Linked DNA regions of Struthio camelus. The protein of the gene in region 1 purifies or fractionates together with the protein of each later gene. This does not show direct contact. Links are inferred from orthologs where the notes say so. Each region holds a gene or a part of one and is shown in the gene's direction. Other genes may lie near its edges.

Region 1 (7,388 bases):
TACTGATGACCAGTGCTATAGAAAAGTAAATAAAGTACTTGTATTGTCTTGCTCCTATTGTCAGAACAAGGAGCATTTGGTGCAGCTGAGCATTAAAATAGGTGAAGAGAAAAGTTGTTTCATTCAGTCCATCAACTAGTAAAACTCCTTGCCACAAAGATGCTTGGAAACCAAGGATTCAACCGGTATGAGAAAGGGTAGCTATTTCTATGGCTGGTGTGAACACCCATAAATAGATACGTTAGACACGCTAGAACAATTTCATAACAGATCTATAACCTTATGCTTCAGGGCATGAGCAACCGTTAACTGGGAACAACTGCTGCATTCAGGTTATTCCGGGATACTATATTAAAGACTTTCCCACACCTTCCTCTTCCTCCTCTGAGTGATGAACTGGCTACTGCCACGGACACTGGGCTACCTGGACTGTGGGCTGTCCTGTGCCAGGGGCTCTTCAGTGGAAATAGAAGCACAAGCCCTTGCAAGTGCAACCTAACCTAAAAAGCCGTCTGCAACGGCTCCAGTTGGAGCAACGGCTCCAATTTCTCCCTTTGATAAATATGTTTGGCCAAAACGCACAGTATACATGAACAATTTTCCCTCGGATCAACGCTTTCCTGTGTTGGGATCATGCATTTCCATTGGTGATGTGGTCTGCATCTCACAGAAACCAAATCCTCCTTCATACTACCCTATTCTGTTTGTACACTGTTCTTGTTAGAGCTATCTGCTAGTTTTTGTGTTAATGATACCATAACCCAAGAGACTGGTTTCGCTTTATTGTACAGGAGAGCATATGACAGAAGAAGAGCTGGCAGCATGTCTGACTACCTTGCTGGGCATGAATCCAGAGGGAGGAATAACTAAACCGGGCACCTCCGATACCTCAGGTACACAGGATTATCGTTCTACGCAACACAGAAGTAGAATTGCTTCGGTTCCCCAACAGAGTAATTTAAATTGCAAACCTATTACCCTGTTAGGCCAAGAGCTGTCAAAAATATGCCGACAGGACTGCAAAAATAGCCATAGAGCTATAGATTGTCCTTGATACATGCAACCATTGCATGGGTGTATATAAAAATAAATGAGCAATGAGATGTACCTGGGACCTGACAAGATTACATTGGTGTTTATCTGCTGGCTTGGAACTGAAATTAGAAGCACACAGTGGAAGGTTTACATGCCAAAGTCCACAGGCAAAAGGGAATCCTAGAATATGCAAATTATAGTGTTGATTTCATCCAGGCAGTAATGCCCATTATAACGGAACTGTTGATAACTACCACATTTGTATACAATATATGTCCCAGTCTACACCAGTCTAGAATAGCAAATTATAGTGTTGATTTCATCCAAGTAGCATTGCCCATTTTAATTGGAACTGCTGCAAAGTACCACATTTTTATACAGTTCATGTCCCAGTCCACGCCAGTCCGGAACAGCATCCGGTCAGGGCTGTCAGCCCACGGACCTGTGGGCTTCGAAGGTACCTCTTCTGAAGGGAACTGTCTAGCGCTGTAAACCAACTTTGAAATCCCTGGATTCCGTAAGATCCTAGAACCAAGTGAAATCAGCGGAGTGTAAAAGTTCCATTTGTTCTCGTGACTTTTCTGAGATAGGTATTTACTGCAGGATGAGGCTGTCAGCCTCACAGATTTGACAGCTTGTCCCCTTATAAGGCATAAGTATAAGGGCATAAAGTATTAAGCTAAGCCAATCCTTTTTCACGATCGCTTCAGACATCTTCAAAACATTCCATCCACTTAACTGCTGCTTATAAACCTTACTCTGTGGAAACCCATTTTTATGTTGCTGTTGTCTGTTTTGTGTTGTTGGTGTTGTTGTTACTGCTCTCCAGGTGCAGCAGCTTTACTGGAAGAAGAAATTCCAGATGAAATCACAGCAGAGATATTCACTGCTGACATTCTTGGCTTACCTATTCCTGAACCAGAAAAAAACAGAACAGAAAAAAGAGATGAATCTTGGATCCACGAAGGCTCGGAAGCATAGCTGCTACAAAGTTTTCTACTCGTTCCTACTTTGCAATCTCCTCTCCTCAAGTATCTGTGAAATTTGTATTTTGCATTTATGAAAAAATAAAGGCAATATAATTTCAGACTGAACAAACACTTGTCTAACCCCTGGTTTAGCGCAGGCCACAAACCTGTGGGATCAAATCTATTTCCCAAATCAAGCACGGTCCTAGTATTCCACCTTCTGTACTGCTACTGTGGAAAGTTTGGATTTGGAGATCATCAGTGGAAGTATTTCTGCCATTCAGGCATGGCCAACACTCCTAATACCCTTTCGCAGGGAAGTTAATAAACAGTGGTTTAAATGAACATGGTGCCGTCCTGAAGTGATCTTCTGGGAGAGCAGCATGAAGACTCCGCTGTAAAAACATCTATCTTGTAGTCCAGTGAGCCATTAGAGAACATCACTATGTACAGAATCGCAGGGGTGGTTGCAAAGAATAAAAGAGTAGTCGGTGCATTATCTTCTTGCATTGATCATCCCTGTTCTTGGCTAGAATCTTCCCAGAATTCATTTTAGGGTGGGTTTGTGCCAGATGAAGCTGTTCTGATGCAGTCTATTTTCATCATGCTGAGGCGATGTTTATTTGTAAAACCTGACAGTCAAATAGCGACGTAAAAGTATTATATGGATTGTCTACATTGATAAATGTAATGTACAAAATGCCTGAATACATCAGAACGGATTGGTAATTATACAAATAAATCCATCAGTAATCCATCCTTCAGCCCTCAGTAAAGAAAGGAACAGTGAGATGCAAATTAAAACCAGGTTTCTATTTTGGTCTTTACAACTTGTGTTTTTCTTTCTGAAAGTAGTAGTTCCAATTAGTAGTGTAATACCAATGGGACAGCATTTTACAGTGTTTGTATAAACAGTGTAATGAAGCTGATATAAGTTGCTGTAGAAAGATCAGTGAAGAGCTGTTGAACGCGCTTCCTTCTTTACATCTTCCTCAGCATCAATTTGAATAATAATGTAGGCCCTTAAGAAGCGTTCCTTTCAGTGGCAATGTTTATTAAATCGAGACTGCTGTTACCTACCGTAGAATATCTGGGGCTGTTCAGTTAGCACAAACAGCAAGACGTTACAACTAGGTACAAGTTAATAAAGAAGTCCAGTAGCACAGTGACCAGGGTATGTGAGGTTAGAGAGTTTCTGCAGAGCATGACTTCGCAGGTAGCTCTCTCTGCCCGTTTACTTCTATGCGCAAACACTCCCGTGTATCTGTGCTGGCTCAGATCCTCACCCCCTTTACATCGCCCTAATTCCATGGAAGCTTTTGGAAGCACTTTAGGCAGCTGAGAAGCCTTACAGACTCTGCAAAAAAAATCTGCATTTTGTGGATTTATTAAACGTGCTGTTTAACAAAGCAGATGTTTTGCTTAACAGGAAGCATTGCCAGTCACCGCGCTCGAGGTCTGCAAAACGGTGTCACAACCACTTGCACAAGGGCTGGACGCAGTTGTCACTCGGATATCCCCCTCGCGCCTCGCGGGGTGGCTACGCTCCAGCATCCGGTGTGCTAAGAACAAAGTTTGAGGCCAAGCGGGCTGAATTCCCCCCCCACACACACACCCCGTAGACTGAGCACCCCGGGGATCTTCCTCTCAGCGCAGGCACCCAGGCCGCGCGGAGAGGCGACCCCTGCCCTTGGTGGGGCGCGCGGGCCGCGCCAGGGCGACGCCGAGCCCCCATGCGCCGAGGGGGGCCGGCGGCAGCCCCGCGCCCCAGCCCGGCTCCCCCTTGGCCCGGTTTGTCCCCGCGGCCTCGCTGTGGGGACGTGACGCCCTCAGCGTCGGGGACACCCGCGCGACCCAGGCGTCCGGGCCTCTCTCCTTTCCCCCCCCCTCCCCAATATCCCTCGCCACCAACAAAGGGCCCAGGAGTCCGGCTCCTCCTTATCCCTCCGGCCGGGCTCCCCCCGCCCCGCGCCCCTCGCCACCAACAAAGGGCCCAGGCGTCCGGCCCGCCGCCGGCGCGCGCTGCCCTGGCGGCGCCTCTGCCGCGCGCGCGCCGCCCCCTTCCTCCCCCCCCCCCCGCCCCGCCTCGGCCCCGCGCGCGCGGGCTCCTGCTGCTGCTGCCGGCGGCGGCGGCGGCGCGGGGCGCGTGCGCAGTGCGCGGGCCCCGGCGGGCGGGCGGAGCCGAGCGGAGCCGAGCGGAGCGGAGCCGAGCGCAGGGAGCATTGTGCGGGCGGGCGGACGGACGGACGGACGGGAGCCGCGAGCCGAGCCGAGCCGAGCACCGCGGCCGCCGCCCCCTCCCTCCCCTTCCCCCTTCCCCCCTCCCCCCCTCCCAGCAGCATGTCGGGCCGGTCGGTGCGGGCCGAGACCCGGAGCCGGGCGAAGGATGATATCAAGCGGGTGATGGCGGCCATCGAGAAAGTGCGCAAATGGTGAGCGGGCCGCGCCGCGCCGGGACCCCGCGCCCGCCCCCTCCGGCCCCCCGCGCCCTGCCCGCAGCCCGCCGGCGGCCGCGGGGGGCGGGGGAGCCGCCGGCACCCAGAAGCCATTTCGCTCCGGCGAGTCACATGAAGGCGGCGGCGGCGGCGGCGTGTGAGGGCCGGAGGCGGCTCCATTGTGCGGCCGAGCCCCCTCGCCGCCGCCCGGCCCGCTGCCCCGCGGCTCCCGGCCCCGGAGAGCGGGGAAAGGACGGCGGTGGTGGCGGCTCCTCCCGCCGCCGCCCTCCCCTGAGCGGGGGCCCGGGGCGAGCTGGGCGCCCGGCGGCTTCGCGTGGAGCTGCCGCTTGGAGAAGTGTTTGGGGCGGGGGGGGGGGAAGCGTTAAAAATGGCACTGAACAACTCCAAGAGTTGTTTTGTTTCCCCCCCCCCCCAAAAAAAAAAAAAGTCCCGTCCCCCCAGGTTCGCACCCACGCGGGGCCGTCGGGCCGTGAATCCCGAGCGGAGCGGGAGCGGGGGAGGGCGCGACTGCTGCTCGGATTGGCTCCAAGTTGTGCACTTGGAGGTTGTACCCCCGGCGAAAGCGTTCCCTTTTGTTGGGCCTGGAAAGTGCTTTGGCCTTTTTTTTTTTTTTTTTGAAACACGCTTTTTGCCTTTTTTTTTTTTTCTGCTTTTCCTGTCAAAATCAACACGAGGCGTTGGAACAATACAGCGGAACACAGTTATGGCAGTGTTGGGCGCAGTCAGTCTAGTGTTTTGGGATGGGATGAGGAGCCGTGCCGGTGTGAGCCCAGACTGGATCTTTCTTCCAAAAAGTAGACTGCTCAGTAGTCTTTGTGCATGCATCTTAAAATCTTCCTGTAAACGTGTGAAATCCACAGCAAGTCTCTTCCTATGCGTAGCTGTTTTGAACCTGATAAAATAAGGGGGCACTTTTCTTGTAATCCACAGCTAAATACTTTGATTTCATTAAAAAAAAAAAAAAAGAAGAAGAAGAAGCAGAAATTAAATGTGTGTGTTATCCTGGCAAAATGGGTTGTTGCCTTTTAAATGGCCTTGAGCACATGAATGGGCCAGTTGGCTTGAGCTGGACAAAGAATCAAAATGTGTGTCCCGTAATGCAGGGCACGAGATGGGGATTTCGGAGAATCCCTCCATTGTGCAGGGAGCGAAGCAGTCGGAGGATTACAGCTCTGCTGATTTCAGGAACTCTCTTCTTCTCTGGTGATGTTTTCAAGTGTTGTTTTTTGACTCTTTGGCCAGCTAGGAAGGCTCAAAACTATATAGCGATGTGGCAGTACTTTTTAATCAGAGTAGTATTGTTGGATGTGTGGGACTATTTTATTTGTAGATATCTCATTCATGAGTGTAGTGCGTTTCCTTTGAATCCCAGTTGGTGGATTTCAGAGAGGAGTAGAGGCAGGAGCTTGGCCATTCAAGAAAATGTCTTTTTTTTTTTTTTTTTCCTCTTGGCAAGGGCTTTCTGCCATCATGTCAGTTGCTATGGCTTCCCCTATAAAACAGGAATCTTAGGGTATAAATAGATTTTGTACATTTTAACCCTCCTGAGAGAGAGCTTGTTTGAAAAGGTTACTGTACAGAATCATGCGAAGTGTTTCTTCTGATTACGGTCAGAAGTATTCATATGGCTTTTTGCGTGTGCATCTCGCAAGTATTTACACAAACCATTTTTCATATTTTTAAAAGAATTAATAATTTGCTGGTATAGCTCATGGTTATTTTTCCCCCTGTTCACTTGCAGTCAAGTACATTGAAAATTAGCAAGAGAGATTCTATGTTTTGTGGTTCAGATGTTTTGAGAAGACTTGTGAAACTGAACTTTATACGCTAGCAATTCCTATATCTTACGAAGAGCCACATAGGCAATTTTCAGTGTGCAGTTTCATTTGCATAATAGGAGCAATTTGTTGCCATCCACAGCTTTTCTGTGGAAATGCAGCCACTGAGGATTAAAAAACCTTGCATACGGTGTTTCATAGAACAGAATTTTCTGAGACTTGTACATGTCGCATTTCCGCACTGAAGACAGAAGCGGGGCAGACTGTATTGCAAACCTCTCTGAACTGACAGCGGCCCTGGTGCGTGCTGGCCAGCACTCCCATCAGTAGGTGAAGGTGTGCAGCAGCAACTCTCCTTGTTGTAGAGTGTTACTGTGTGCCTGTATTGCCACGTGTGTGTGCATGCCTATTTGAAGTGAGTTTCCATCAGTACAGAGTTTGTCCCGTAGGAAATATGAATTCTTTCTTAGACAGAAATCCATCCTTTGGTGCAGGCACCTGTCTTCATGCGTGCTTGTATCGTGCCTAGCACTTTTGGTATTACTGGAACTTGACTTATAATAGTAAACGGTGGAGTTATTATAGTTTTGTTAATCTCGAGATTAAAACTAATCTCCTTCGTTTAAATCACTCTCATGAATGAGCATTTATTTTAGAAGACACCTAATATGTTTCCTACAAAATACATGGTTGTGTGGCAGAACGCTGTATTTCCATGGCTAAGAGCATAGACCTACTTCTTCTTAATAGCTGTCACGTTTCTTCCAGTCTATTAAACAGTCATCTGAGTTAAATTTAACTTAATGAATTATAAACAATATGGGCTTATCTTTTGTTTTAAAGATTGGCAAGTATATGTAGGTCTTAAACAGGCCCTCAAGCAGAAAGGGGTGAAAACTGTTGCGTTCTCAGCCAGCATTACAAAATAATGGAAATGCTCTTTTTTTATAAAAGATTTATTAAATGCTAGAAAATGCAGAGAGTTTTACTGGTGAGAACACATAGTGGGCAGTATACAAGTGTAAGTAGTTGGGTGTCTAAGGAGGCAGTGAAATGATTTGCGTGGGTAACTAGGATTTCTGAACTTTCGGACAGCCGTGCAAACATTAAGGATGGAGGCACGGTGTGGCTGACTGGGACAAGTGTCCTGA
Region 2 (7,383 bases), on another chromosome or scaffold:
CAGTCCGCTTGTCCCTGTCTCCCCAACCAGGTGGGTGAACTCCCTCCAGCCAGCCCGGGTGACGCGGTGGGGCGGAATGATCTCCACTCCGGATGCAGTGCTGCAGGCCGTCATCAAGCGCTCGCTGGTGGAGAGCGGCTGCCCCACATCCATCATCAACGAGCTGATCGAGAACGCCCACGAGCGGAACTGGCCGCAGGGCCTGGCCACGCTGGAAACCCGCCAGATGAACCGGCGGTATTACGAGAACTATGTGGCCAAGCGCATCCCTGGCAAGCAGGCCGTGGTGGTGATGGCCTGTGAAAACCAGCACATGGGTGAGGACATGGTGCTAGAGCCAGGACTGGTGATGATATTTGCACACGGAGTGGAGGAAATATAAGGACTTTCAAAGCAAGAAACGCTTCGTGCTGACAAGGGGAGAGGAAGGAGAAGGTGAAGAGGCAGAAGGGACTGGGGGAGTAGCTGGTCAAAACCACTGGTGTTCCCTAGCCGCCTGTGTGGTTTTGTTAGAGCCTTATCCCCTTGAGCCTCTTGCTTCCTAGCTGAAATGATTAAATGCCTCTGGTAAATACTACTTAAAACACTTGGCCCAGCAGTGAACACACAGTGCAGCCCATCCGTGTTTGCCCCTTGCAGATCAGCTTCTACATGCAATGTCTTTCCAAGGGGGGAGAGGGAGAGAAAGCACAACTGCTCCACTGAATACCGCCAGACTCTTCAGACCCAGCCTGCGTTTTGGATGCTACTGCCTCCACCAAAGCCCTGGCTCTTTGTGCAACCCAAACTGAAAGGATAAGTTGATCTCGTTGTGGACCGGCCCCATGGCCACTGGTGTCTCTCTTGTTTGTCCAGTGGCTAAATCCTTCTTGGGCTTTATCTCCCTCTCTGGATTCCTCCTGCCTCACTCTTAAAAGGTTTCTCTGTTGCTCTTTCTTCAAGTCTTGCCTCCTTCCATGCCTGACTGACCACACAGTACCTTAACAGCAGGATTTGCTCCCCAGCCTCTTGTGCTGGGCTGGGGAGGGGGCATGGGGTGGGGAGAGGCAGCCCAGGAGCAAGTCCACGAACAGAGCTGTGAGTAGTGCCCCAAAGCAACTCTCGGAAACCTAAAGGCAGCTGGAGCCAAGGCAGCTGAGCTGCTGAGAGAACGAGCCTCCAGCGCTGGTGGAGGGCTGGGGCCTTCCCCCGTGCGGGAGAGACTCTGCGTTGGAGGAACCAGCCTTTCAGATGGGCTCCCCGGCCCCTGGATGCCACCGTCCCTTCAGAACTGCTCTGGCCGTGCCGCCCTCCTGCTGCCGTCGCTCCGTGCGTGCCCTGCGCTGCCGGCCCGGCCCCGGCTCCCTCTGCTCTCCGGACAGGAGAGCCCGGGCTCTCCCAGGCTCGTCGTGCAGATGCTCCTGCCCGAGCGAATGGCTCGTGGCCGCCCAGGCATCTTGTGCCATTTAAAGTTGCCTCCACGCGTTGTCCTTAGCCCTAGAGAAACGGTCCTGTCTGTCCTGTGTGCATTGAGTGTTCGCGAAGAGCTTTCTGTACTGTTACTGTTGTTACTTTTCAGACACTTGTGATTGTGGTTCTGTATTTTTTGTACTTTTTTGGCCTCTCTTGTTTGTATACCCCCCCCTTATTTTATTTTTGAAGTACCATGGACAGGCACCTCAGAACCTGGTTACGTTTACTTGTTGGGAATTTAATTTATTTGCATTTGTTTTGTTGTTTTTTACAGTACTTTTTCTCCTCCTGTGTCTGTGTTGCTCAGATACGGTTTCATCAGCTCACTCCTGTGCCCGTGTGGGCTACTGTGAGGCAGGGATTTAAATAATCAATAAACAGCGTTCTGATTGCTTTACATGGGGCTCGGACAACATCCTCACTGCCGGGATCGGGCGTCTCTGCTCCTCCTGGGAGCTCCAGCTGTCCCTGCTCACCGGGAGGAAGAAGCCAGGAGAGCACCCGTGTATTTTGGTTCAAGAGAGTTCCCTTTCCCCTTCTCTGTTGCCCCTGCAGCAGCTGTGTTTTTCGCTGGGAGCGAGCGGAGTCGGCGCTCTCCCAGGGAGGACGCGTGGGCGCACGCCAGCCTCGGAGCTCGGGTAGCTCTCCTGCAGCGGCCCCAGGTCCCTTTTCCCTGCATGCATCCCGCTCTGCGCCAAGGGGCCTTCCCGGCAGCAATGCTTCGAAGGGGCCGGAGCAGGCAGAGGGCACCCGGAGGGATACAGAGGGGAGAGGAGGCTGCTATGGCTGTGGGAAAGAAGATTTCCCCACATCCAGCTTCTCTCCCTGGCCCTGCTGTGCCCGACGCCGGGGAGCCAGATGCACGATCGCTCCCGCTAGCCCCGCGCGCGGCCTCGCTCTCCCCCTTTTCCTTGTGGGCTTTCGCGTGCTCAGTGTCGCCCACCGCGAGCGCCCAGCTTGGCTTTTGCTCCGCTGCGAGGCGTCCCCGCTGCTGCCGGGCTCTGCCTCCCTCCCGGCCCTTTCCCTCTCCTGCACGGCTCCAGCCAGCTCTTGCGGGGCGTTTCTGGCTCTTCCGCGGCGGCTCTAGGGCCTGCTGTCACTGTGGGTTTGTATCCTGTATTTTTAACGCAGCAGGAATGTTTTCTGGCGTGGGAATCTGTTGTCCGAGGTGGTTTGTACTTGTTTCGGTGTCTAGATGACGCCCTGTTTGGAGGGGCCAGTGGCGGGGGGGGGGGGTCCTCCAGCCCGGTCCCTTGTGCTCAGGAATGTGACAAAGCTGCTAAATCCAACAGGAAAACTGCACGCGCGGAGCCGCGACGGCCGCTGCCTGTGCGCCCGCTGGTTCTTTTGTGTCGCCTGCGCGACATAAACCGCCGTTCCCGGATGCTGCAGCCTGTCGTCGCTCCGGGCGCTTCTCTCCGCCGCGGGGACGCTGTGGGCGGCTGCCCCGGCTCCGCGTCCTCCCTCCGCGACCGCTCCCCGGGCCTTCGCCGGGGTGGGGGGGGGGCAGCACCCCTGAGACGGGGCTCTGCTCCCCCGGGGGTGTCTGAGGATTTGGGACCCCCCCCGGGGCATGGGGGGGGGCCTGCCCCCCAAGCAGGAGCAGCCCCCCCATAAACAGCTCTGCAGCCGCCCCAAAAGGTGTTGTGCCCCCCCCCAGCAAGGGCTCCCCCCACCCCAAGAGGGGTTGTGCCTCATCCATGCAGCACGAGCTGCCCCTCCCCATCTTCAAAAATAAAAAGCGGGTACCGGGGGGGAGGGGGGGGTTTTGACAGCATCCCCCCCCCCGAGACCCCCCAGCTGCACCAGCCCCTTTTTCGGGCCGGGCCCGGGTGGCCCCCACAAAAACAACCGTCGCGTCACGGACAGGATTCGAACCTGTGCGGGGAAACCCCATTGGATTTCGAGTCCAACGCCTTAACCACTCGGCCACCGTGACTGCCGCGCCTGCCCTGCGCCGCGCTCCGCCTAGACGGCCGCCGCCGCCGCTCCGCCCCGGCCCGGCCCGACCCGCTCGGCCCCGCTCGGCCCGGGGCGGCGGGGGCGGCGCGGACCGGGAGCCTCCAACACCGGCCGCCCCCGGCTCCTCTCGCCCCGGCCGCTCCGCGGGGCCACCCGACCCCCCCCCCATCCCGCCCCGGGCCGCCAGGGGGCGGTAACGGCCGGGGCTCCTCCCACCGCCAGGGGGCGGTAACGGCCGGGGCTCCTCCCACCGCCAGGGGGCGGTACCACCTCGACTCCTCCCACCGCCAGGGGGCGGTACCACCTCGACTCCTCCACCGCCAGGGGGCGGTACCGCCATCGGCTCCTCCCACCACCAGGGGGCGGTACCACCTCGACTCCTCCCACCACCAGGGGGCGGTACCACCTCGACTCCTCCCACCGCCAGGGGGCGGTACCACCACGACTCCTCCACCGCCAGGGGGCGGTACCACCTCGACTCCTCCCACCGCCAGGGGGCGGTACCACCTCGACTCCTCCCACCGCCAGGGGGCGGTACCACCTCGACTCCTCCACCGCCAGGGGGCGGTACCGCCATCGGCTCCCCCAGGCCGCCAGGGGGCGGTACCGCCACGACTCCTCCCACCGCCAGGGGGCGGTACCACCTCGACTCCTCCCACCGCCAGGGGGCGGTACCAGCCGAGGCTCCTCCCACCACCAGGGGGCGGTACCATCATCGGCTCCTCCCACCGCCAGGGGGCGGTACCACCTCGACTCCTCCCACCGCCAGGGGGCGGTACCACCTCGACTCCTCCCACCGCCAGGGGGCGGTACCACCTCGACTCCTCCACCGCCAGGGGGCGGTACCGCCATCGGCTCCCCCAGGCCGCCAGGGGGCGGTCGCGCCCCCCCCGCCGCCAGCAGGGGGCGGTGGCGGCCGGTCGCGGCGGGGTGGGGGGGAGGGAGGAGGGAGGCGGTGACGGCGGCGGCGGCGGCGGCGGCGCGGCGCGGCGCGGCCCGGCCCGCTGGAAGATGGCGGTGCGGAAGAAGGACGGCGGCCCCAACGTCAAGTACTACGAGGCCTCGGACACCGTCAGCCAGTTCGACAACGTCCGCCTCTGGCTCAGCAAGAACTACAAGAAGGTAGGGCCGCCCCCCCCCGCCGCCGCCGGCCCCCCCGGCCTGTCACGGCCCCGCCGCGGCCTCCCCCGCCCGGCCTCCCTCGGGGCTGTCAGCGGCGGCGGCGGGCGGGCAGCCGAGGAGGGGGACCCCCCCCACCCCCGGGGGGGGGTACATCAGGCCCGGCCTGCTCACGCCCCCCCCCCCCCCACCCCGGTGCAGTACATCCAGGCCGAGCCCCCCACCAACAAGTCGCTGTCGAGCCTGGTGGTGCAGCTGCTGCAGTTCCAGGAGGAGGTGTTCGGCAAGCACGTCAGCAACGCGCCCCTCACCAAGCTGCCGGTGAGACCCCCCCCCCCCCCCAAACCCGGGGGATCGGGCCCCAGAGACATCCCCCCCCACCCGGCGGACCGGGCCCCAGAGACCCCTCCCCAAACCCCAGGGACATCTACCTCCTCTGGGGACCAGGCCCCAGAGACCCCTCCCCAAACCCCAGGGACATCTCCCCCCTCCGGGGACCAGGCCCCAGAGACCCCCTCCCCAAACCCCAGGGACATCTCCCCCCTCCGGGGACCAGGCCCCAAAGACCCCTCCTCAAACCCAGGGACATCTCCCCCCCTCCAGGGACCAGGCCCCAAAGACCCCTCCCCAAACCCCAGGGACATCTCCCCCCCTCCAGGGACCAGGCCCCAAAGACCCCTCCCCAAACCCCAGGGACATCTCCCCCCCTCCAGGGACCAGGCCCCAAAGACCCCTCCCCAAACCCCAGGGACATCTCCCCCCCTCCAGGGACCAGGCCCCAAAGACCCCTCCCCAAACCCCCAGAGACCGCCCCCCCCGGGAACCAGGCCCCAGAGACCTCCCCACCAACCACTCCCAGGGATTGAGCCCCAGAGACCTTCCACCACCTGGAGGACCAGGCCCCAAATATCTCCTTCCCGGGGAATGGACCCTAGAGATTCCCCCCTCACCCCCCCCTCCTGAGGGGCTGGACCCCAGAGACACCTCTCCCCCCCAACCCAGGCACCAGGCCCCAGAGACCCCCGAGGACCCGACCCCAGAGACACCAGTCACTGCACTCCCAAAACACGACAACTGTGCCCCAAAATCCCTCGGCTCTGCGCCCTCCCCCACCCTCCCGTCGAGCTTTGCACCCTGAAGACGGCCAGGGACTGCACCTTGGGGACATGGTTTGCACCCCAAAGAAACCCCGGGGCTGTGGCCTAGGGACGCCGGGGGGGGGGGGGCGTGAGCAGGCAGGGGGGGGGTCTGCATCCTGTTGGCCCAGGGCAGCGCCCAAAATGCGCCTGGAGACAGCAGCCCAGTGACCCCTGCGCTGTGCCCTGCTGACAGCCGGCACCCCGGTCTGTGCCGTGTCCCGCCGGCACCCCGGTCTGCGCCCTGTCCTAGGGACGCTGCTCCAAGGTGGGGGGGGGGAGGGCAGTGCCCCAGTGACCTCCCCCCCCGGGGAAGGCGCCCCGCCCTGACCAAAGGACAACGGCCTGACCATGGACAGCGCCCCCGGACCTGGGGACAGTGCCCCGAGACCACCACGGACAGCGCCCCGAGACCACCACGGACGGCGGCCCAGTGTGCGGGCACAGTGCCCCGATGTGCGGGCATGGCGCCGTGTCTCCCCCCCCGCCCCCCCAACCCCAGCTAACTGCCCTCCCGTGCCCCCCCCCCCACCTTGCCCTGACTCCTTTGCTCCCGCTGCAGATAAAATGCTTCTTGGATTTCAAGGCGGGAGGAGCCCTGTGCCACATCCTGGCGGCGGCCTATAAGTTCAAGAGCGACCAAGGATGGTGAGCCGCCCGCCTTTCGCCCCCCCGCGCGGGGAGGGTGGCCGCGGACCAGGAGGATGGGGGGCCGCAGGGGTGGGGTGGGAGGGCGTCACGTCCTGCTCCGTCCTGGGCCTGGGGGAGCGGGAGCGGGTCGGAGCCCTTTGTCCCCCTCGAGGGACCACGTTGGGGGTGCGCTCGGGCCCATTGAACGTGCCCACTTCCCTGGCAAGCGGGTGGCGGGGCAGAGTCCCCCCTGCCTCAGCCAGGGCCCCGCGGCGGGGCTCGGGTGCTCCCCTCCCTGTCCCCCAGGCAGGCTTTGAACAGCTGATGAGGAGACCTGAGCTGTGGCTTTCATGAGAGTCGCTCTTTTCTTCCAATAAGGCGGCGTTTCGATTTCCAGAATCCTTCGCGGATGGACCGCAATGTGGAGATGTTCATGACCATCGAGAAATCTCTGGTGCAGGTAACGGGCGCCTCCCCCGGCCCTCCGCTGCCCCTGGCCCCGCTCCCTCGCCCCTGCTCACTGCTCTGCTCTCTTCCTCCCCCAGAACAACTGCCTGGCCCGACCCAACATCTTCCTGCACCAGGAGATCGAGCCCAAGCTCCTGAGCAAACTGAAAGACATAGTCAAGAGACACCAGGTAGGTGGCAGTGCTTGGAGGGGGGGGTGGGCCTCATCCTGGTGCTCAGCCTCATGGCCTGACCACCTCCTCTGCTCCCCTCGCAGGGCACGGTGACTGAGGACAAGAACAACGCGTCCCACGTTGTCTGCCCCGTCCCTAGCAACCTGGAGGAAGGTGGGTGCCTGGTGCCAGCCTCTGCAAGGAGAGTGGCTCGGGCTGAGCGTCCGCTCTCGGAGAAATGCTGTGGGGTTTTGGGGTTGGGGGGACAGGGCTGAGCGAGGCGTCTCAGGGCCGTTCTTCCAGCAGAGCAGGGACACGGCAGTGCAAGCTGCGGCCTGGGGTTGGTGCTCGATGCCCCAGTCTGCCAGCATCTGGCACTGAGTTAGCTCCCTCCCTCTGTGTCTTCCAGAAGAGTGGGTCCGGCCGGTCATGAAGAGGGACAAGCAGGTCCTCCTGCACTGGGG
Region 3 (7,555 bases), on another chromosome or scaffold:
TAACAGAGTTAGTAGCAGTTGTAGCACAAGCCATATGTAAACACAGTTTCTGTCCTAAAGATTTCCAGCTGCAGAGAGCAAAAGTAACATGCCAGATCCAACACTGTGCATCAGAAAAAGCCCTCAGGACCCCACACAGACTGAATAACAGTGAGTGGGCAGGGAATACTGAAATGCCAAACTCCCTCTGGTCACTTGGCTCTGGTCATGCCCCTGTTGCTCCTGGAAATGGCAGCCGGGTGTTTTGCATTTAAACTAGAACTGACTTACTGCTACTCTGGTCCTTCTCTGCCAGAGCCGGTGCTGCATAGGCTACAGGGTGGGCTTTGAATAGGAACAAGATAATATAGCTAACTGCCAGAAGGGAGTTAATGAACCTAAATTAATTGCAACCAGCCACTGAGTAGCCAGGGCAGCTGACCACGCGTGCTCCCTCCGCAGTGGCATTCACAGCAGCTCCTGTTGCAGGGGGCAGGCAGCAGCCCTGGTGCTGAGGGCTGTAATCTCTTTCGCAGCTCCCCATTAACCCTGCTGGGAGCAGGTCACCCCCTCCATCTGTCACAGCCTCACATTGCGCAGGAACATCCCCAGCCTCAGCACGGCTGGCAGAGCCGTTTCTGCCGCTGCGCTCGAAATGGTGTCTGTGCTGCAAGGCACAGCCTGGACCCAAAGGTGGCACAGCCAAGACAGTTCCCATCCCAGAAGCTGGGCGCGGGAGCACGTTGGGAGTACCGCAGGTAGCCAGACAGCACACAAATGTGAGCAGCCCTGTTACGAAGTGCACAGGTTGTATGTTTCCATATTCAAGGCTCCATTGCGCAAGCGAGCTGTGCACCTTCAGAGCATGCCGGGGCAGTGTCCGCTGGCCAGGGAGCCTTGAGGGGGGCTGTGGTGCACGGATGGGTGCACTGCGTGAGGCTGGCAGCCTGCAAGGTGCGTAGCAAAGGCAGCATGCGTGTTCATCCACGTCTGTCACTCAATATTATTGCACGAGATTCATGCTGCGCGCAAGACAGTTAATTACACGTCGCAGGAAGCATCTCTGATGATCTACGTGAGGATGAGATGTGACACACCTAGGCCTGAGACGCTGGGAAGCACCTGCTTGCACACTGCTGTGTTTACCTCGCAGATCGTGTGGCTGCTGAAACCCTACAGAGCAAGGATTAATCATGCAGGATGCATAAAACCATGGCAGAGATAGCATCACCTCCTTTCCTCCCTGGCAGTAATTCCCGCTTACCACTTGCTCAGTGCTAAAGCTGCCAGCAGAAACAGGCGCTGAGATATAATTACACAGTCCTGGATGCTGCTTGGCTGCCTGGAGCCAGAGCCATACGGGTTGGGGAGGAAGGTTTCAGAGTAGCTGCCTTGCGCCAGCAGGTGCAGTAAAACCAAGGTGCACGGGGTAGCATCACACAAACCATCTCCACTGGGAGGAGTGAACCAACCAAACCCTCAGGGCACAGGCAAGGGGGAAGGTGTTTCTTAGGGGATACAGCTAATAACAGGGGACAGAGAGCTGGGGTTGCTCCCAGCTCAGCTCAAGCAACACCGGGGCTCTCAAGACCCTGCAGCTCCCTGTGCCAAACTGAGCAGCTATCTGACTCCCATTTCCCTCTCTCCACTTCTCAGGTTAGCCCTTGCTTTCTGCTGCTTTCACAGCTCCTCACTCTGTCTCTCCCAGGAGAGCCAGGCAGTTCCAGCCTGCCCAAAAGGCTCCTGCCATCCTGCCAGGCTTTAAGTCTCAGTCAAAGTTGCATCCAAACAATACGGAGCAGATAAGTTCCGCTGCTTTTCCTCCCCATGAATATTTCATAAGGCAGCTGGGCGCCAAGCCTGTCAGAGGTGGCATTAAATTAACTGCATGGACACACGGATGCTGAGACAACAGTTAATAGGCTGTGCTCAAAGCACTGAGGGTAGGAAATACCGTATCTGGCAGAGAAGGTACCAACACATCCCCACTTCTTTGCTCAGTTGACAATGCCATGCACTGTACAGGACATCCTCCTAAATGATCCATGATCATTAATTGTTTAATTAGTGCTTGTGATGTGACTGTTCACCTAGGTTTTTTTCCCCCACAAATTAACGTTGGCTGCATTTATGTCCCTTTTCTCTCTGAGCAACCACAAGGGGAAGCGCTCTAGGGAATAGGGAGCTTAATGCTAATACTTGCAGAAAGTGGCCTTTAAATCTAACATTGTGCTGCCTGTAGCAGCCCAAGCCGCTGCTGAGGGAGATCGGAGCCCTTTACCTGGCTGTTCAGCCTAAACCTGAACAAACAAGGCCCCGGCTACCTGATCAGTGGCAGAACCCACAGTGAAACCTGGTGGTCTATACTCACGAGTCCCCCTCTTTATCCAGTCACCACCGAGGTTCAAACCCTACGTACTGGGAGGAGGTTTCTGCCTCCAGCCTTTGAAAAATCACTTTCAGAAATCCCATTCTGAACATCCTCCAAGTCCCTCCATTAACTCACACTTATCCATATGCAAAGAGTAATTTGGCATGACCTTGTGAGGAGCTATTTCGGATAACTTTGTACCTCTGTGGAGTATTATCACCATCTAGACGAAGTCTTTCAGCTACAACATACTGACGCAGACATATATATTCACACCGATATAAAAGCACATCCATTTATGCCCCCACATGCTTACTTCTTAAGATGTTAAGGACAGCAGCTCCAGTGAGAGGCGTTACCGCCACTTTGGCATCTCAGAGTCCTCCTTTCCGGGGCGCAGGCAAGGCAACCTTCCTCGGGGCACACCCCAGGGCAAGAGAGGCTGCAGGACCAGACCAGCATCTCCTGCAACAGGTAGATATTGTAAGAGCCAACGCTACCGTCAAAAGCCAGCCAAGCACAAGACTCATACCCCAACCCCCTTCAGCCCCAGAGCAGCTCCGGCTCTAGCAGCTCCTGCACAGTAGCCCTGAGGGCTGCAGGGGAAACCAGCCCAGCTGGAAGAGGGCAGAGGAGATCAGAGCAAGGTGTGCTGCCAGCTGAGGCAGGTAGACGAGCTCAGGGGCTGCCAGCCTAAGGGCTTAGGGAGCTGGAAAGTGTCTTACAGGTGGTTTTCTATGGATATCAGAGCCCCTGGCACACAGAGCTGCCTCTCCCACCCCAGACACCCCTCCGTGACAGTACAGATGGTGACAAAGGGGGATGACATACAGCAAACTGTGAGCTGGAGGGACGTAAAGGGAATAAAGAAAATAAAAGAAACATAGATCTCTAGGCCCCCTCCAAGGACACTGCTCCCCATGGCCCCTGCACCCCCTCCACAACGCCCCATGGACACCCCTAGGCCTCTGCACCCCCCATAGCCTCCCAATGGACCCTGCACCCTTCCCCCCACAGCACCCCATGGACCCTGCACCCTGATGGACCCGTCATAGTCCCTGCTCCCTCCTACAGCCCCCTAGACCCTGCACCTCCCACAGCCCCACATGGACACCCCATGGCACCTGCACCTCCCTATGGCCTTCCATGGACCCCCCCATCCCCCACCAACCCTTCCCAGATGCTGCACCCCTCCCCAAAGACCCACACAGCCCTCCCCAATAGCCCCCTCATGGACTCTGCACCCCCAACAGCCCCTCCACTGCCCTCCCATGGCCCCAGCACCCTTCTTCCCAGCCCCTGCATCCCCCCATGGACCCCCCCATGGACTCTGCACCCCTCACAGCCCCCCACTGCCCCCCATGGCCCCAGTACCCTCCTCCCCTGCCCTGCATCCCCCCATGGATTCTGCACCCCCTCACAGCCCCCCACCGCCCCCTCCATGGCCCAAGAACCCTTCTCCCCAGCCCCTGCATCCCCCCATGGACTCTGCACCCCTGAGAGCCCCCCCATGGCCCCAGCACCCTTCTCCCCAGCCCCTGCATCCCCCCATGGTCCCCCCCCATGGCCCCAGCACCCTCCTCCCCAGCCCCTGCATCCCCCCATGGACCCCCCATGGAGTCTGCACCCCTCACAGCCCCCCAACGCCCCCCCGTGGCCCCAGCACCCTTCCCCCCAGCCCCTGCATCCCCCCATGGAGCCCCTATAGACTCCCCCTCCTCCGCCCGGCCCGGCAGCGCGGACCTCCAGGCGGCAGGGGGCGGGCGGCAGCGGGCGGCGACGCTCTAGCTCGACGCCCCGCGCGGGCTCTCTATGGCCGGCGTCCGGTTCCGGCCCGCTCCCCTTTGTGCTGGGAGAAGATGGCGGCGCGGGCGGGCTTCCAGGCGGTGACTCCCAGCGGCGGAGGCGGCGGGGCCGCCGCCGGGGCCGCCGCCCTGGGGCCGGGCACGCCGGGTGGGCCGGTGCGCATGGGCCCGGCTCCGGGACAAGGCCTGTACCGTTCGCCGCTGCCGGGAGCCGCCTACCCGGTGAGGCGGGGGAGGGGCCGGCGGCGGCGGCCGCCGTTATCCGGGGCGGCCCGGGCGGGGCGGGGCGGGGATGGGCCGGGCCGGGCCGGGCCGGGCCGGGCACTGCCCCCACCCCGAGCCGCCCGGCGGGCACTGGAACCGGTCTCTTTCTCTCCGCAGCGCCCCGGGATGCTCCCGGGTAGCCGGTTGACGCCGCAAGGTCCCTCCATGGGGCCGCCGGGCTACGGCGGGAGCCCGGCGGTGCGGCCCGGTATGGCGCAGGCCGGCCTGGACCAGGCCCGCAAGAGGCCGGCGCCGCAGCAGCTCCAGCAGGTGCAGCCGCAAGCCGTGCCCAACCGCAACCACAAGTAAGGAGCGGCACCCCCGGCCACCGGGGCACCCCCGGCCACCGGGACGCCTTCCCTCCCTTAAAGCCCCCCCGCTCCCCCCCGGGGTGCAGGCTTTTGCCGGTGACGCCCCCCTCTTCTGCCGTGCCCCGGGATCTGGGGACATCCCGGTCACGGCTCTGCGGGGGCTGCTCCCGGCAGCACAATGCGTTTCTGTTCTGCGGCGGGTCTGGGGCGCGCTGCCTTCGTGCCGTGCCTGGGCTTTTCACTGCCGCTTTTTGTTGGGCGGCTCAAAGGGACTTGAGCTTCCTTGGGCAGCTACTTGTTGGGGAGAGGGGAGCTTCCAGCCGATAAAAGCGTTAATGTGCAGCTGCTAGACAAGGGCAAGCTTGTTACGTTTCTGGCAGTATAATGGCAGCCTTAGCATCATTGTTAACTCATTTCTTGGTTTAAAGCATGTCAAACTGAAGCTAAATTAGGCTTGAGAGTCACTTTGGCCCGATATTATGTCAGCATGCCCCTTTCAACATGATGTAACCCCACTTCCCGAGCTCTCGGAGGGGACGCGAAGCATTCAGGTAACTGGTTAGTCACGGTGCTGCAGCGTTTGTCAGCTCTGCAGCACTGGCTGCCTCGTGGGGCAGGGGCTGTGGGGAGTAAAGAGCCTGCCTGCGTGTGGGGACTGGAAGCAGTAAGTGCCTCTGAAAATGAGAGGCTGGACTGACGGCTGGCACCCAGGCTAAGAGCACTGCTAATGCTGCAGCACTAAACCAGAGAATAACCCGTCATCCTCACGCCCTTCACGAATGCCTGCAGTTACATAGGACAGAGTGGTTGCCATTTTAATGCATGTGTGTGTGCATCTCCTTCCTTAACAGCGCTAAAAAGAAGAAGATGGCTGACAAAATTCTACCTCAGAGGGTGAGTGGCATGTGCCTTCGCAGCTTCTGTTGAGATGCAGTAGATCGGAGAAGTGTGGGGGAGTTAACGGTGACTTGCATTCTTGATTGGCTTGTGCTCTGCTGTAGATTCGTGAACTTGTACCTGAGTCTCAGGCCTATATGGACTTACTGGCCTTCGAAAGGAAATTGGACCAGACGATCATGCGGAAACGCTTGGATATCCAAGAGGCCTTGAAGCGACCCATTAAGGTAGAGAGGATTATGTTCAATGTTACTGTAAGCAAGGACTGGAGACTCTTACCTTAGTTAAGAGAGCAGGAGTGCACTGAAACTTGGGTCCTGTCGCTGTAAGCACAGTGTATCAGGAACCTTAGTACTCCAGATGCCAACGGAGGAGCAGAGCCAGGAAGGCCTGATGTTCCTCTTTCCTTGCTGCCCGTCCTGGGAGAGGTAGAATATGAAATAGATAAGGATACTGAACCTCTTAGTTTTAGCAAAACATAATATAGTTGATCCTTTATTTCAAAATTAACATTTAGCTGATGCTTTTTCTCTTAGCAAAAGCGAAAGCTACGTATTTTTATCTCCAATACCTTCAACCCAGCCAAGTCAGATGCAGAGGATGGTGAAGGCACAGTTGCCTCCTGGGAGCTTCGGGTAGAAGGAAGGCTGCTGGAAGACGTGAGTGTGAGACACCCAACCCCTTTGGGGAGGGAAAGAGACAAGCATTGATGTCTCCGGTTAAAAGAAGCTAACTGGGGCTCTAGGTCCACCACCGAGTACTGAGATTAGCTCTCCTAACACCCTTCCTGTGTTGCTTGCAGTCTGCTTTGTCCAAATATGATGCCACCAAACAGAAAAGAAAATTCTCATCCTTCTTTAAATCTCTGGTCATTGAACTTGATAAAGACCTGTATGGCCCAGACAATCACCTGGTAGAGGTGAGCTGCTTTTTGCTGCACTATCTCTAAAAGTGGGTTGTTGTTCAGCAGACAGAATTTGCATGTCATTCATGTCTCGAGAGGTAGTGGTGGCTTGAACAAGTGGCTGGGAGCTAGGAGCTGTTGAAGTCTTATCTTAGCTTTTCCATTGACTTGCTGGGGCTCTGAGCAAGTGCATTAACTCTTGCTTCAAACTATATATGGGAATGAGACTAACTCTCTGTAGGTGGGTGGGGGTTACCAGCAAGCATGTTGGGTACCCAGCAGGAGCAAAGGGAACAAAGACTAGGGGTGCCACTGAACGCACTCTCCTGTTCTGTGTCCCCCAGTGGCACAGGACTGCTACAACTCAGGAGACAGATGGTTTCCAGGTGAAGAGGCCGGGAGATGTAAATGTGCGCTGTACTGTCCTCCTGATGCTCGATTACCAGGTAGGCTGTTTGGAACAACATTGCTGGGCCGGTAGTGTTTGCTGAGCCCTGTCTGTCACCGCGTTCCTATCTCGTCTTTCTGTGCTTTTTGTTTCAGCCTCCTCAGTTCAAACTGGATCCCCGCTTGGCTCGTCTCTTGGGGATCCACACTCAGACCCGTCCAGTGATCATCCAGGCATTGTGGCAATATATTAAGACCCACAAGCTCCAGGACCCCCATGAGCGGGAGTATGTCATCTGTGACAAATACCTCCAGCAGGTAACAGTGTCTGTGGCTGGAACACGTGACTGTTTCAGCTTTTCTCTGTTAGCAGCCAGTGATCCCTGGCACTGAGCTCCCATTCCTTCCCTTAGCCCTGTGTTTCTGTCACAGATATTTGAATCTCAGCGGATGAAGTTCTCTGAAATCCCACAAAGACTTCACGCATTGCTTATGCCCCCAGAACCAATCATCATTAACCATGTGATCAGGTGAGACAGGTCCACTTGAGTTCATATTTCCAGGAAAAAGGGTGAAAAGAATGGATGAGCCTGGTACAGAAAGATGTTATAACACGTTGTTTTTTCAGTAGCAGTTC
Region 4 (7,682 bases), on another chromosome or scaffold:
GCAAACCGTGCAGGGACCCTGAGCCCGGGCGCCCTTGGGGGCTCGCGGGTACCTGGCCGGGCTGGGACCCAGGCGGACATAGTACCCGCAGGCTGGGCACTCGCAGGGGGGTTTGCGCTGGGGGAGCATGGGGGAGCCCGTCCCCACATGCCTCCCGCGGGCCGGGCACTCGTGGGGGCTCCCCACGGGTGCAGGCTGGACCTGGAGGCGCTCCGCAGCCTCCGTGCGCAGCGGAGGGCTCGGAGACGAGGCAGAGAGCTCTTCGCTTTCAGGGCAGCAGCGAGGTCTCTCCGTTAGCCCCCTGCCAGCTTTTGGGGGGGCGTCGCACTGCCCACCGCAGCCCTCCTTGCAGCCGGCCCCCCAGCCTCGGCCCTGCTCCTCTGGCCAGCGTTTTGGAGGGGTTGGGACGTCTCTGGCCTTCCCGAGGGCTCCCGCCCGAGCCGGTTTGCCATGGGGGGCTGCCGGAGGGCTCTCGGGTGCCTCTTCAGGGCCCTGCTGGGCTGCCAGGGCTGGGTGCTGCTCTGAGCCTCTGGGCATCCCTGAAAACATGCCCCAGGCACCCGTCGGCTCCACGCCGCCGTCCTGAGGAGGCGCTTCTTCCTTCACTTTCTGAGTCCTGCTGCCTGCTGCAACAGAGAGAAACGCATGTCTTGCGGGGAAGAAGGGCAGAGCAGAAACCTGCAGCACGTCCCTGCTCTGCCACCCTGTACCTCCGCTGCCAAGGCTCTTCACGGGCCTGCGGCACCACTGGACTCTCCCTTCTTGCTTCTGCTCCTTCACCAGCTCCCGTAGCATTTTCTCCACCTGGCTCTGGCCGATGGTTTGCATGATGGCCATGAGCTGCTTCCGGAAATCGGGCAGCAACAGCCCCTGGCTCCAGGGGGTCGTTGCCAGACCCTGCGGCGGCTCCAGCTGCCCCCGGGGTGGCTCCATGTCAACATCTGCAAAGCAAAGGAGGTGTTGGTGATGGACAACTGCATATATCTTATGACAAGTATATTCCCACAAGGAAATCTTTACAGTTCACTGGAATAAGCTTCCCGTTATTTGCTAGCATAAAATATGGCTGGGGTGTCCTAACTAAACTGTATCAGTAGGCAGATTCTTCTACCAGAAGTCAATGTCCAAAAATTTAAAGCTATAAGTAAAGTATTGACCAGATTGAATAACAGCTATACAGTTTTCTGCAGTCAGAAGTGGAATGCAGGGATTTTAGTCCCTCTTTATATCATTCTTTACACCAGTTTTGGGGGCAAGAATACAGCTTATGAAGCTGCGGAAGTTAAAGAAACAGTTGCTTTTTTGTTCGGTGAATTCTAAACATCCACTTTAATGTCCACCTTTCAGATCGAATAAATTAATCAACCTCTGCTGTAGACATTGTTCAAAACCAAGCTGGCAACATTTTTTTTTTGGTCCTTTGCAGACAAGCTTTCTTTTAAAGCGAAAATCTGGCCTTTCTGTAGCCATTATTAGTTTTCTACTCATTTATTTATTATAAAATTAAGGAGAGTTATTATAAAATTAAAGGGCTTTCTGCCAGCCCAGCATGCATCTCCAGGCAGGAGGCACAAGGTGTATGGCACCAGGGTGGGAGCATGGAAAACACAAGGAATCAGGGAAGGGGAAATTACAGGCAGGGTGAAGAAGGGTCCCTGGGAGCCCCATGCTTGTGGCTGTGAACCCTCTGCTGCCCCAGACCCACCCTAGCGCATGCAGCAGGGGACGTCCTGCTCCCAGAGCGGCCCGAAAAGGACCTTCTAGCAGATGGGCTAATAACTGAGGCCGTGGCTTTTTCCTCCTGGTCGACAACTTACAGCACAGCAAGCTTAGGCGCCTGGGGGGCTCTGCAAAGGCACATATTCGTGGCCAGCTCATGGCGATCTCTTCCGCTGGCAGAAAGCAGCACAAATTAGACAGAAACAGTTATGAAACAGTTGCAAAGACTTCTCCTCCTGACCCCCATGAACGGAAGCGGAAAACCAAAGGCAAAATCTCTGCGGGGGCCAGCAATACAACGCAAGGTCAGACTGCTGCCACCGAATGGAGCAGCACAAAAAGCCCTTCTTGATAGGCAGCGCCAGCCCAGGATGAACACTGGGTCCCAGCAGGATGGAGCAGTCCCCCTGATCGCTACGAGCACAGACAATGAATTTGGGCTACCACTGCACCCGTGACAGCGAGGGCTGGTGGACATGCTCCCCGCCTTTTGGCGCAGGCGGCCCTGCAGGAGGCGGGTGTCACGGTGGCCACAGCTGGATTTATAGCCTGCAGAAAGTCCCCAGTGACCATCACTGCTGCGGTCCAGGAGCACGGAGGCACGGGAGAGCCTTACCCAGGGAGATCACTGACTCATAGCTGTCCTGCACCACGTTCATGGGGCCACGCGGGGCCGAGGGGCCACTCGGGGCCTCTGACACCTGCAAGCGGAGCAGCCGCTGTTCACATCAGCTTATCCCAGCGCATCCTTCTCCATTGCTCGCCCTACACCAACTTCATCCCTCGCCCCGTGCCGGCTCCCTGCAGCCCTCTTCACCCCACAGCAGCTCCATCCCTCGCCCCAAACCAGTTCCCAGCTCCATCCCTCGTCCCATGCCGGCTCCCGGCTCCATCCCTTGCCCCACGCTGGCTCCCAGCTCCATCCCTTGCCCCACGACAGCTCCCAGCTCCATCCCTCACCCCAAACCGGCTCCCAGCTCCATCCCTTGCCCCACACCGTTGCCATCTCTTGTCCCACACAAGCTCCCTGCAGCCCTCTTCATCCCCCACCGGCTCCCACCTCCATCGCTCGCCCCACGCTGGCTCCCAGCTCCATCCCTCGCCCCAAACCAGTTCCCAGCTCCATCCCTCGCCCCAAACCGGCTCCCAGCTCCATCCCTCGCCCCACGCTGGCTCCCACCTCCATCCCTCACCCCACGCTGGCTCCCACCTCCATCCCTCGCCCCACACCGGCTCCCACCTCCATCCCTCGCCCCACACCGTTGCCATCTCTTGCCCCACACCAGCTCCCTGCAGCCTTCTTCACCCCACACCGGCTCCCACCTCCATCGCTCGCCCCACGCCGGCCCCTGCCCCACGGCCCGCCACGGCCGGCACGGCAGGGGCCGGCTCGCAGCGAGACGAGCCGCGGGCAAAGGCCGGACCCCGCGGCCGCCGCAGCCCCGGCCCCGGCCCCTTCCCCCGCCGGAGCCGCAACGCGCTGGGGCCGAGGAGCCGCCGCTCCGCGCCTGGCCCCGACGCTGCCGCTGCGGTACCTGGCGGAGCTGCCCTGGGCGCCGCTCTGCCCGCCCGGGCACCGGCACCGGCACCGGCACCGGCACCGCCGCGGCGCTGGCCCAAGAAACGCTGCCGCCTGCCGCCGGGCGGAGCGAGCGGCCGGGCGCGGCGCCGCGCCGGCGCCCCCTAGCGGCCGCGCCGCCCCCGCCGCCCGGCGGAAGCCCGGCGTGACCCCGCCGGGGGCGTCCGGGGGGCGCCGAGGCCGCCGGCTCCCCGGGCACGCCCGCGCCGGCCCGCTGCCCGCGCAGCCGCTCCGCACAGAGAAAGCGCGCAGACACAGCGATGCGCACGCACTTTCATGCCCCCAGGCCGGCACGTGCAGATGGACATGCCTTCACGCGCACATGCTTGCACGCGCCCACACACACGCCTGCGCGTGCAAACGCACAGGCCTTCACACCGACAAACCTGCACACACGCGCGCCTGCACGTGCGCGCACCTTCCCATGCCACCACGGTTGGCCTCAAACCCACACTGCCACAACGCACGCACCTTCACACCCCCAGGCCTGAACACCCAAACAGGCATGCCTTCAGCTCCCACACGCCTGCCTGAGGAAACGCATGCACCTCCATGTGCCTGCGCACGTACACACACCTGCACGTGGAAACACACAGGCCTTCACACACATGTGCGCACACCTGCACGCCCAGGTGCATGGGCAGCACGCACGCACACACGCACAGGCATACGTATGCACACACACAAACACAGGCACACACATGGGCACGTGCACATATGTGTGCACACAGACACACGTGCACACACAAAACATGCATATGTACACATATACACACACACATATGCACACATAATGTACATACACATGTGCACACACATGTACAAATGCATATATGCATGGCTATACATATGTGCATGCACACACACGCACACACACATGCACACGTGCACACACATGTGCACACACATATGTACACAGGCACATACATATGGACACAGAGAGACACACAGGCGCATGCATACAACTCACACACACACACAAACACACATATGCGCACATGTGTACATGTGTGCACATATGCGCACGCGCACATACATATGCACATGCATATGTGCGCGCGCGCGCGCACGCACACGCACACGCACACACACGCACGCACACACGCACACACACACACACACACACACACACACACACACACACACACACACACACACACACACACACACACACACAGGCGCGCGGGGGCGGGGGCGCGCCGCGGCCACGTGCGCCGCCGGCGGGGAGGCGGGGGGCGGAGCGGCGCGGACGGGGGCGGGGCCCGGCGAGGGGGCGGGGCCCGGCGGCGCCGCGCGGTGACTCCCGACCCTGGGCGCCGCCGACTGCCGCCGCTTCCGAGTAAACAGCGCGGGCGGGGGGCCGCCAGCCGCCGCCATGGCCGGCCGCGGCGCCTTCCCGCTCAGCCCGCTGCCCCCCCCCGCCGCCGCTGCCGCCCCGCCGCCCCCGGGGCCCGCGCCCGGAATCCTGCGCGGCCCCAGCCCGGCCCCGGCCGGCGCCGCCGCCGCCCCGGGCTACCGCCCCATGGGGCCGGCCGCCGCGCAGTACCAGGTGAGGCCTCGGCCCCTCGCGTGGCGGAGCCGCGGAGGCAGCGCGGGCGCGGGCCGCCACACCGCGCCGCGGGGCTCCCAGGACACGGGTGGTGGGCGCTGGCGCGGCTCCCCTCGAGGCGGGTCCTCAGGCGCGGGTGCGTGCTGGCGGGGCCGCGCTCGGGACGTGGTGCCGTGGGGCTCGCTGGGCACGGGTGGGTGCTGGTCCCCACTCGGGACATGGCCCTGTACCGGGCACGGGTGGATGTTGGCACGTCCCCACTGGACGTCGCACGGCTCCCTGGGTGGGTGCTGACTTGGCCCCACTGGGGATAGACTCCTTGGGCAGTAGTGGGTGCTGGCCAGGCCCCACTGGGGACAGTTTCCCAGGCACCTGTGGGTGCTAGCCCAGCCCCACTCAGGACAAGGTGTCTTGGGGCCACCCTGTTCCTCGCAGCATCTCCGTTTCGGCCCCTTGTTGCTGGGCACAGGCACCAGGGAGGCCGGATCCGGGTCCTCTTCCCCTTTCTGGGGGCTCCAGCGGCCCCGGTGCCGAGGTCCTGCTCGTCGGTGGGTGCAGCTGGGGAGCTGTTTCCCTGCCCGCTGCTGGGACCAGCTCACGAGAAGCCTGGTCCTGCCCAAAGCTGGGAGAAGACGGATATCCCTGCCCAGGACATACCTAGGTGCCGTTTACCATCCGTCCCGCTCCTCTCGTGGGACCCAGGGTCTATGCTAAAATTCTCTGTCTTGAATTTGGCCAAAGTCCCTTTGTGATTTCCCCATGAGGGCTTGGTACCCCCCGAAGGGGCCGTGGGGAGAGGCCGGAGGGCAAACTTTCGCTTGAAAGCGTGGCCTGGCCTGCGCTCGTGGGGATTCGATGGCTTTGTTTGGCGGTGGTGTCTGGAGAGGTCCATCGGGCAGCTCCGAGGGTGCCGTGTTAGCAGCTCGGTAGAGGCAGGAAGAATATCCTTTTTTTTATTTTTTTTTAATTTTTTTCTTGTCTTTTGGGGAATGTGTGTGTGGGGGACAAATGAAACATGCTGCAGGAATGTACTTGAATCCAACCATGCTCTTATATGTTCCAGATCCCCTCTGCTTTCCCAGTGGAGAATCGCTCGGGGATTGAATGTGCTTTTTAGCAGCTTCTCAGCTGCACCGTCCCTTGCGGGGGCGCTTTTGACCAGGGGAAAGGAGTAAGTTGGCAAAGTGGCTGCTCTGCATATGGCCTTGGCAGTTAGGACGGAGGAAATGTGACCAGCACACTAGGGCTGCGTTTCCTGATTTTTTTTTTTTAATGTTTTTTTTTTTTTTGAGGCCCTTTAAATAAATGTAGTTATGAGCAAATGCCCAGTGAGGGGTCGATGTCTTTTGCTGTTACAGATGAGGTAACTGAGGCACAATAAGACCCGTGTTTTCGAATAGTAATCATTTTGGAAAGAAATGAAGGCAGCTGCTTCCAAACCTATCTCCGTGAGTTTCCAGAAAATGCTCTGAGATTTTCATCTCCTAGCACAACTCTGCTGCTCCAGCAGGAGCAACTCTGTTGCTTTTCAGCAGGTAGTAGATCTCCCTGCGCTCACTAGAGTGGGCCCAGCTCCTTTAGAATGGTTGCATGCTCCATCTTTCCTTATTCTTCATGGTTTCTAACTGCTTAAAAATCCCCATAAAAGTTGCTAGCAGCTGAATATTTGGCAGCATTGCTGTGCAAATCTTGTCTGTTGTAGCAGCAGAGTGATAGTTCGGGTCTGCTGTAAACACCCAGCAGGAGCCAAGGTGCGTAACTCTATCTGCGCTGCGGTGAGACTCAGGGACCGCTGGCTGTTCATCTGCTGGGCTGAGAAGAAACAATTTTGGAGCAGAGGAGGTACAAGCCACTCCAAGCAGAAGTCATATGTCCAACTCCAGCTTCACAGCCATTTCTTGTTGCGCAGAGCTCCCTTGAAACATGTTTATATGCACCTTTTGCAAATTTAGGGGTAACCATAACCAAGTAGCAGGTGCATATTTGCAAGAGGAAGCTGAAGAGACAAGGAGGTGATGGAAGAGGAGAGCAGGTGCTTGTTAATTTGAGGGGGAAAAATGGAGACATGCAAGTGCCTTGAAGGTAGATCTGACCAGTGAGCAGCCCTGGAGAAGCCAGAGCCAGTGTAATTGTTCTACTTTCTGCCTGAATATGTTTTATGAAGAGTATATTTTAACTGATACTCAAGTTTCCGCTTCTCACTGCATGCGCGGCTTGTCTGTGAGCTGGCTCTTGTGCACATGGTGATTATTTTGAAGAGGCTAGGCTTCTGATTTAAAGCGATTTCTTCCAGATGCTCTTTGGAAATGGAGGAGCCCAGTTGTGCAACAGATTCTCAATCTCTACTGATCACCACCTCCAGAGCTGCCACATTATTTGCATGAATGAAAACTTAAGAAAAAAAAAATCAAACCAAGGGAGCTTCCAACTTGTAAACTTCATTAATACAAAATGAGGAAACAACCTGAGTAGCCTTAAAACACGGAAGAGCCCTGAAGTGAAAATTGAGACGGCATATTCAAGGCCAATCTGAGCATTAACCAACGGTTGCAATTGTAACTTGATTCAAAGGATTCTCGGGCTGGGAGAGATCTTGCTCATTTACCCTGACCGTCCATGCAGTAGGTTGCAAAACCCAGCCCGGGTGCCTGGCTCGAGCAGCCGGGAGTCACTCATCGCTCTCATTTCGTGTAAATAGGCTAACATATGCTTTCCTGCCATCCGCGCCGGCCATAACACCGCGATCAAAGCAGGTGTTCGGAGCGTATGGCTGGCATAGGGTGAGGCACTGAGCATATGTCGTTGAACTGCAGTATTTGGTAAACAGGAGTCGCA

The links.
Region 2: the proteins of BCL7A (region 1) and SMARCC2 purify together in Homo sapiens (affinity purification with mass spectrometry; 4 studies listed by BioGRID and IntAct, counting the BioPlex papers as one, with this or other methods). This does not show direct contact. The link is inferred for Struthio camelus from reciprocal best matches to the Homo sapiens genes BCL7A and SMARCC2.
Region 3: the proteins of BCL7A (region 1) and SMARCD1 purify together in Homo sapiens (affinity purification with mass spectrometry; 5 studies listed by BioGRID and IntAct, counting the BioPlex papers as one, with this or other methods). This does not show direct contact. The link is inferred for Struthio camelus from reciprocal best matches to the Homo sapiens genes BCL7A and SMARCD1.
Region 4: the proteins of BCL7A (region 1) and SMARCD2 purify together in Homo sapiens (affinity purification with mass spectrometry; 5 studies listed by BioGRID and IntAct, counting the BioPlex papers as one, with this or other methods). This does not show direct contact. The link is inferred for Struthio camelus from reciprocal best matches to the Homo sapiens genes BCL7A and SMARCD2.

The regions. Positions count from the first base shown.
Region 1 is NC_090958.1:17,699,023-17,706,410, forward strand, and holds the start of BCL7A (B-cell CLL/lymphoma 7 protein family member A), read left to right. Parts: upstream 1-4,171; 5' UTR 4,172-4,343; coding exon 4,344-4,435; intron 4,436-7,388.
Region 2 is NC_090969.1:554,656-562,038, forward strand, and holds the start of SMARCC2 (SWI/SNF complex subunit SMARCC2), read left to right. Parts: upstream 1-4,363; 5' UTR 4,364-4,425; coding exon 4,426-4,536; intron 4,537-4,734; coding exon 4,735-4,854; intron 4,855-6,231; coding exon 6,232-6,317; intron 6,318-6,677; coding exon 6,678-6,759; intron 6,760-6,844; coding exon 6,845-6,937; intron 6,938-7,023; coding exon 7,024-7,093; intron 7,094-7,328; coding exon 7,329-7,383. Other genes in the region: RNF41 (E3 ubiquitin-protein ligase NRDP1), read left to right, coding at 31-382. UniProt on the Homo sapiens protein: Involved in transcriptional activation and repression of select genes by chromatin remodeling (alteration of DNA-nucleosome topology).
Region 3 is NC_090969.1:1,483,432-1,490,986, reverse strand, and holds the start of SMARCD1 (SWI/SNF-related matrix-associated actin-dependent regulator of chromatin subfamily D member 1), read left to right. Parts: upstream 1-4,194; 5' UTR 4,195-4,209; coding exon 4,210-4,377; intron 4,378-4,536; coding exon 4,537-4,724; intron 4,725-5,581; coding exon 5,582-5,624; intron 5,625-5,731; coding exon 5,732-5,854; intron 5,855-6,163; coding exon 6,164-6,286; intron 6,287-6,429; coding exon 6,430-6,546; intron 6,547-6,875; coding exon 6,876-6,977; intron 6,978-7,074; coding exon 7,075-7,236; intron 7,237-7,350; coding exon 7,351-7,448; intron 7,449-7,555. UniProt on the Homo sapiens protein: Involved in transcriptional activation and repression of select genes by chromatin remodeling (alteration of DNA-nucleosome topology).
Region 4 is NC_090966.1:2,793,740-2,801,421, reverse strand, and holds the start of SMARCD2 (SWI/SNF-related matrix-associated actin-dependent regulator of chromatin subfamily D member 2), read left to right. Parts: upstream 1-4,658; 5' UTR 4,659-4,673; coding exon 4,674-4,847; intron 4,848-7,682. Other genes in the region: zinc finger protein GLI4-like, read right to left, coding at 1-626, 711-941, 1,818-1,892, 2,336-2,378. UniProt on the Homo sapiens protein: Involved in transcriptional activation and repression of select genes by chromatin remodeling (alteration of DNA-nucleosome topology).